2 linked regions of the Sus scrofa genome follow. The protein of the gene in region 1 interacts with the protein of each later gene in a biochemical or structural test. Links are inferred from orthologs where the notes say so. Each region holds a gene or a part of one and is shown in the gene's direction. Other genes may lie near its edges. The genes, in order: MCM6 and MCMBP.

Region 1 (3,825 bases):
CTTTCAGGAGTAGTCTTAGAGCAGTTTAAAGGTATACATTTAAACTTTTGATTAAAACTGAAGAAACTTTTCTCAGAAACTTGAACCCATTAATACATCTTACGGTGGCATATTAGAGTTTGTTAGCCATAAATAATTTCTTAATGCCTGAGATAGCCTGAAGTGTTTATTGTTATAACTAATCAAAGTGATTTTCTGATTTCGAATTAGGTCACAGATTATGCCATTGCCAGGCGAATAGTAGACTTGCATTCAAGAATTGAGGATTCAATTGATCGTGTCTATTCCCTTGATGATATCAGGAGGTATCTTCTTTTTGCAAGACAGTTTAAACCCAAGGTAACCTGCCTTTTTGAATTGTAATCAGGCATTATGAGTATGTGAAAGTTACATTTAAACAAAAGCATCACCTGGAAATTAACTGAACTTGACTTGTTCGGGTGTTTTTTTTAAAGTTATTTGTTTTTTTTCGTTTGATCTTGAGGGCTTTTTTTTGAGAACAGTTTTCTTCAGTGAGAGCTGAGAAAAGGGAATTTTTTAAAAGTGAAAAATTAACATTTCTTTTACTTGTTAGATGCCAGTAAAAAGATTTTTGTAAGTGAATGAACATGAATAACTATCTTACAGTAATTGATGTAGTTTATTGGATTCTGTGCTGGATCCAGAGTATTGAGTTGGACATTTGTTTCTGAAATAAACCTCTATAATGCCTTTTTTTTTTTTTTTTTTTAAGCATTTTGCTAAAGTAGAATCAAAAACTTTGATTCTCATTGAGGTTTTTACACTATTTCTGGCTTGACTTTTGGGAGTTATCCTTAGATTTTAATTCTCCAGCTCCTTCGCTTGGTTATCTAAAATAATCAGGATTGACTCTCATGTCCCAAGAGAAGCATCACTTTAATTTGCAGAGGCATTTGTTCTCCATCACTGTATGCTGGTCCTTCTGTTACCTTGGTCTGCTTCCTTAACATGCTTACTTCCTAGCTCTGAAAAACTTAGGATTCTTTAGTATGCCTCACTTTGTTATTCAGTAGATACTAAGCTTTATCAAAATATCTGGTGTGTATATATATATATAGCAGTTCCCTCATATCCACAGGGGATATATTTCAAGACCCTTAGTGGATGCCTTTGACCACAGATAGTACCAAATCCTATATATACTATTTTTTTCTTACACATACATGCCTGTGATAAAGCTTAATTTATAAATTAGGCACAATAAGAGAGTAACTGAATAGCTAACATCACTATTCTTGCACTTTGGGGCTTTTATTAAGTAAAATAAGGGTTACTTGAGCACAAACCCTTTGTTACTGTAACAGTTGATCTGGTAACCAAGATGGGTACTAAGTGACTAATAGGCAAGTAGTATATACAGCATGGATATACTGGAAAAAGAGATGATTCACACCCTGGGTGGGACATTGGGTGACATAAGATTTCACTATACTACTCAGAACAGTGCACAATTTAAAACATATAAATTGTTTATTTCTGGGATTTTCTATGTAATCTTTTCAAACTGCAGTTGATCATGAGTAACAGAAAATGGAGCTACAGATAAAGTGGGACTACTATTAATTATTGACTCCTCTTTTTCCCAAAAACTGCATAAGTTAATTAGCTGCTCAAGAATAGCCTGAATGGTAGCTTCTTTAATGAGCTTTGGCATCTTAGGTATACATGTCCTTTAGAAATGGTCATTTGCTTAAATACTAACTCTGCTGTCTCCCTGTTCATAAAATTAGTATATGGAATTCACAGTCCTAAGTATCAGTTTCTTTTAAAAGACATTTCAGTATTAATTCCTTGTCATTGGTTTCAAAGCTTTGACCCTCTCAGTTCCCCCAGAATATCTCCACCTGGGAAGCTCTTAAACTTATGTTTAAGTAAAAATGCTGACTTCATTGATGTTCTGACACAGATTTCTAAAGAGTCAGAGGACTTCATAGTGGAACAGTATAAACGCCTTCGCCAGAGGGATGGTTCTGGAGTAACCAAGTCTTCATGGAGGATTACAGTGCGACAGCTCGAGAGCATGATCCGTCTTTCTGAAGCAATGGCTCGGATGCACTGCTGTGATGAGGTATCAAAATCACTTCAACATAATAGAGAAATCATTTGTTGACTTATGTAAGCCAGCTTTGGTGTAGGACATACTAGCATTAGCTGCAGATTTTTTTTTTCCTTTTATTTATTTTTTTTATTTTATTTATTTATTTTTGTCTTTTGTTGTTGTTGTTGCTATTTCTTGGGCCGCTCCCGCGGCATATGGAGGTTCCCAGGCTAGGGGTTGAATCGGAGCTGTAGCCACCGGCCTACGCCAGAGCCACAGCAACGCAGGATCCGAGCCGCGTCTGCAACCTACACCACAGCTCACGGCAACGCCGGATCGTTAACCCACTGAGCAAGGGCAGGGACCGAACCTGCAACGTCATGGTTCCTAGTCGGATTCGTTAACCACTGCGCCACGATGGGAACTCCCAGATTTTTTTTTTTAATGTGACTGTTGATTGCTCATATGATACGTGACTGTGGGATTTTTCCCTTGTAGAAGGTTGCTGTCAAGCATTTAATGAATTTAATAGTTAGATTAATAGTAATGAAATGATCATAATGTAGATTATAGATAAATATATAGTAGTGAGTTCAAGATTAATGCCATTCGTTTGAGAGAAACTTGTTTAAACCCTACAACGCGCCAGGCCTCTGGACTGGGGATACAGGTAGAATGACGTAGCCCACATTCTCCTAAGGAGAGTTGTCTTCCTTAGGTTTGTATAATGTGTGGATATTAAATTGTTCTTCGAGCCCTGGGTTGTACAGTGGATATTTAGAGGAGTAAACAGGGAGCAGAGTGGAAGAACATTCATGCCCTCATTTCTGCTTCGAGCAAACCAGCTTACTTTTATCTAGCTTTATATTTTTGACAGTGTTAGATTTTGTTTGAGGAAAGAGTTTGGCTATTTTTCTTAATAGTACGATTGATGTATAATTCACATAGAGGAAAATGTACAGGTTTGACTTTTTACATACACCCTTGGGGCCACCCAACTCAGAATATAGAACATTTACATCATTCTAGAAAGTTTGCACCCTTCCCCAGAAGTAACCACCGTTCTGACTTCATTAACCATTTCTATTCCATAGGTTTTATTTTTTGGCTTTTTTTTCCTTTTTGTTTAATTTTTCTTTCTTTTTTTTTTTTGTTTATTTTTTCTAATTCTCTGATAATGGTGCTTTACTAATTATAAAATACTTTCGCCCTATGTGACTTATTATCAAGTCAAGAGTCAAAGATTATCTTTCGATTCTTCTGACATTTAATGGACATTTAATGAATAAACGAGCTCCTGTCTTCCATTACTGATAATTTGGTGAGAGCAAGACATGTTTAATTAGGCATATTAAATATGAGTGGGAGACTGAGCTATTACCAGCAAAGAGTACAGAGATTAGTGAATTTTTTCCCAAAGAAGGAGTATCTGGGGAGATACCACATTCAAACATGATCACTGAAAAGTATATAGAATTTTTTTTTTTAATTTTTAGAGCCATACCTGTGGCATATAGGAGGTTCCCAGGCTAGGGGTCCAGTCAGATCTATAGCTGCCAACCACAGCCATAGCCACTACCATGGTGGCATCAGATCTGAGCTGTGTCTACGGCCTATACCACAGCTCATGGCAACCTCTGATCCTTAACCCACTGAGTGGGGCCAGGGATCGAACCTGCAACCTCATGGTTCCTAGTCGGATTCTTTTCCACTGCACCATGACAGAAACTCCGAAAAGTGCATAGAATTTTGATAGCCTTTTTTTG
Region 2 (3,825 bases), on another chromosome or scaffold:
TGAAACAAAACTCCCTGGGTTCAAATCCACTTCTGCCATTTCCTGGCTGTGTGAACATGAGTGTGTTATTTAAATTTCTGTGCCTCAAGATTTCTCGTCTATAAAATGAAGGTAATAATGCCTACCTCAGAGTGTTTCAGAACAGTGCCTGGCACACACCCAATGCTTACATGTTGGCTTTTTTTTTTTTTTTTTTGGTCTTTTTAGGGCCACACCTGCGGCATATGGAGGTTCTCAGGCTAGGGGTCCAATCGGAGCTGTAGCCGCCAGCCTACGCCACAGCCACAGCATTGTGGGATTTGAGCCGTGTTCGCAACCTACATCACAGCTCACAGCAACGCTGGATCCTTAACCCACTGAGCAAGGCCAGGGATGGAACCTTCGTCCTCATGGATGCTAGTTGGGTTCGTTAACCCCTGAGCTGCGATGGGACCTGCTGGCTATAATATTTTTTGCTGTTTCTGATTAAAAAAACAATTGATCTAGAATTCCTTGATGGCTCAGTGGGTTAAGGATCCGGTGTTGTCATTGCTGTGGCTCGGGTCACTGCTGTGGCACAGAGTTAGGAACTCTGCCGTGGATATTGCCAAAACCAAAACAAAACTAAAGAACAGCTGATCAACGAAATCTGCTTTATTTTCAAACAACATTAAACTAATTCTGCTTTGTTTGCTCTTTGATGGAAATCAGAAAATCACCCAAGTGTCTTATTGGTTGACATCTTTTTTTTTTTTTCTAGGTATACAAGAAGAGATGTTCTTCCCCTAGGAAAATTTACGGTTAACTTGAGTGGTTGTCCGCGGAATAGTACCTTCACAGAACACTTGTATCGAATTATTCAACATCTGGTTCCAGCAGTAAGATCAATATAAATTTGTATTATAAACCTAAGTGCCCTTTAAAAATCCGTCTTTCGTTCAACCCAAATATTAAGCTTTGAGATTTTAATAGATCTCATTAAGGGAAAACAAACCTGCCTAGTACTGTGTTTTTTGCTCATCCCTAAACATTTCACTTTTATTGCCTTAGCACAAATTTCTCTAAGTAACAACACAACTGTAGTAAACTCTCTTAACATTGCACTAGCTGTAATGTCAGTTCATTAGTACAATTTGGTATCCTCTGTGTGCTTTAAAATCTTAAATCTAAAGAAACTCTAAATTACAGGAGCACAATTCTTTTAGTTCAGGGTAATAACTTTATCTCTACTTCCCTAATTTTGATTCTGGTTGGAAAGTCAAGTTACTTTTATTTGCAAGGACATCTGGAATGCATTTTTGTGTGTGTATGGTGCTAAGATCTTGGGAATGAGAGAATAGCTTCTGATTAGTCATGTGACTGATAATGCTGATCACTTCCTACTTGAGAAATGTAAGAGGTTGAAATAGATATTCATTTAACTAGTGTTTATTAAGTGTCTTCTAGGACCTGAAGAAACAGTAGTGGACCAAATAGACCAGCATTTCTCACACTCTGACTCACTTTTTTTTTTTTTTTTTATTTTATTTTTTGTCTTTTTGCCTTTTCTAGGGCCACTCCCGCGGCATATGGAGGTTCCCAGGCTAGGAGTCGAATCAGAGCTGTAGCCACCGGCCTACACCAGAGCCACAGCAACGCGGGATCCGAGCCGCGTCTGCAACCTACACCACAGCTCACGGCAATGCAGGATCCTCAACCCACTGAGCAAGGCCAGGAATTGAACCTGCAACCTCATGGTTTCTAGTTGGATTCGTTAAGCACTGCGCCACGACGGGAACTCCTTTTTTTTTTTTTTTTTTTTTTTTCTTTTTTAAAGCTTTATTGAAGTAGTTGGTAGTTGATATACAAGGTTGTGATAATTTCTGCCATACAACAAAGTGATTCGGTTATACATATACACACATCCATTCTCTTTCAGATTCTTTTTCCACATAGATTATCGTAGAATACTGGGTAGAGTTCTCTGTGCTATATAGCACTTCCGCGTTGGCCAGTCATTCCATATACTTCAGTGTGCATATGTCAGTCTCAAACCTCCAGTCTACCCCTTCTCCCCTTCCTGTCCCCTTTGGTAACCATAGTTTTTTCAAGGTCTGTGAGTCTGTTTCTGTTCTGCAAATAAGTTCATTTGTTTCCTCTTTCTAGATTCCACGTAAGTGATATCATGAGATGTTTGTCTTTCACTGTCTAACCTCACTTAGTATGATAATTTCTAGGTCCATCCATGTTGGTGCAAATTGCATTATTTTATTCTTTTTTATGGCTGAGTAATACTCTGTTGTATATCTGGCTGAGTAATACTCTGTTGGATATATGTATCCATTCCTCTGTGGATGGACATTTGTGTTGCTTCCATGTCTTGGTTATTGTAAATAGCACTGCAGTGAACATTGGGGTGCATGTATCCTTTCAAATTATGGTTTTCTCTGGATAGATGCTCAGGAGTGGGATTGCTGGATCATATGGTAGTTCTATTTTTAGTTTTTTGAGGAACCTCCATACTGTTTTCCATAGTGGTTATACCAATTTACATTCTTACCAACAGTGTAAGAGGGTTCTCTTCTCCCCACCCTCTCCAGTATTTATTGTTTGTAGACTTTTTGATGATGGCCATTCTGGCTGGTGTAAGACGATATCTCTTAGTAGCTTTGATTTGCATTTCGCTAATAGTGACATTGAGCATCTTTTCATGTGTTTTTTGGCCATCTGTATGTTGACTTTGGAGAGATGTCTATTTAGATCTTCTGCTTATTTTTTTATTTTTTATTTTTTTTGGATATTGAGTTGCAGGAGGTGTTTGTATGTTTTGGAGATGAATCGCTTGTCAGTCTATTCATTTGGAAATATTTTCTCCCATACTGTGTGTGTCTTCTCGTTTTTTTTTTGTTGGTTTTTTTTTTTTGTTTTGTTTTTTTGTCTTTTGTTGTTGTTGTTGTTGTTGCTATTTCTTGGGCCGCTCCCGCGGCATATGGAGATTCCCAGGCTAGGGGTCGAATCGGAGCTGTAGCCACCGGCCTACACCAGAGCCACAGCAACGCAGGATCCGAGCCGCGTCTGCAACCTACACCACAGCTCACGGCAACGCGGGATCGTTAACCCACTGAGCAAGGGCAGGGACCGAACCCGCAACCTCATGGTTCCTAGTCGGATTCGTTAACCACTGCGCCACGGCGGGAACTCCTCTTCTCATTTTATTTAGGGTTTCCTTTGGTGTGCAAAACTTTTACGTTTAATTAGGTCCCATTTGTTTATTTAGATCTTTCTTTTCATTAGTCTAGGAGGTGGATCTGAGAAGATACTGTGCAGTTTATGTCAGTATTCAGCCTATGTTATCCTGTAAAAGTTTTATGTAGCATTTGGTCTTATATTTTGGTCTTTAATCCATTTTGAGTTTATGTCTGTGTATGGTGTTAGGGAGTATTCTCATTTCATTCTTTTGCATGTAGCTGTCCAGTTTCCCCAGCACCACTTATTGAAGAGACTGTCTTTTCTCCATTGTATATTCCTGCCTCCTTTGTCATAAATTTATTGTCCATAGCTGCATGGATTTATTTCTGGGCTTTCTGTCTTGTCCACTGACCTATATTTTTGTTTTCTGTGCTGGTACCATAATGTTTTGATGGCTAGCTTTGTAGTATAGTCTGAAGTCAGGGTGCCTGATTCCTCCAGCTTCATTTTTCTTTCTCAGAGTTGCTTTGGCTTTTGGGGGTCTTTCGTGTTTCCATACAAATTAAAAAATTTTTTGTTCTATTTCTGTGAAAAATGCCACTGGTAATTTGATAGGGATTGCATTGAATCTGTAGATGCCTTGGGTAGTGTAGTCATTTTGACAATATTGATTCTTCC

The links.
Region 2: the proteins of MCM6 (region 1) and MCMBP form a complex in vitro, tested with the Homo sapiens proteins (2 studies listed by BioGRID). The link is inferred for Sus scrofa from reciprocal best matches to the Homo sapiens genes MCM6 and MCMBP.

What each region holds. Positions count from the first base shown.
Region 1 is NC_010457.5:15,950,914-15,954,738, forward strand, and holds part of MCM6 (DNA replication licensing factor MCM6), read left to right. Parts: intron 1-210; coding exon 211-339; intron 340-1,927; coding exon 1,928-2,089; intron 2,090-3,825. UniProt on the Homo sapiens protein: Acts as a component of the MCM2-7 complex (MCM complex) which is the replicative helicase essential for 'once per cell cycle' DNA replication initiation and elongation in eukaryotic cells.
Region 2 is NC_010456.5:129,683,184-129,687,008, reverse strand, and holds part of MCMBP (mini-chromosome maintenance complex-binding protein), read left to right. Parts: intron 1-739; coding exon 740-857; intron 858-3,825. UniProt on the Homo sapiens protein: Associated component of the MCM complex that acts as a regulator of DNA replication.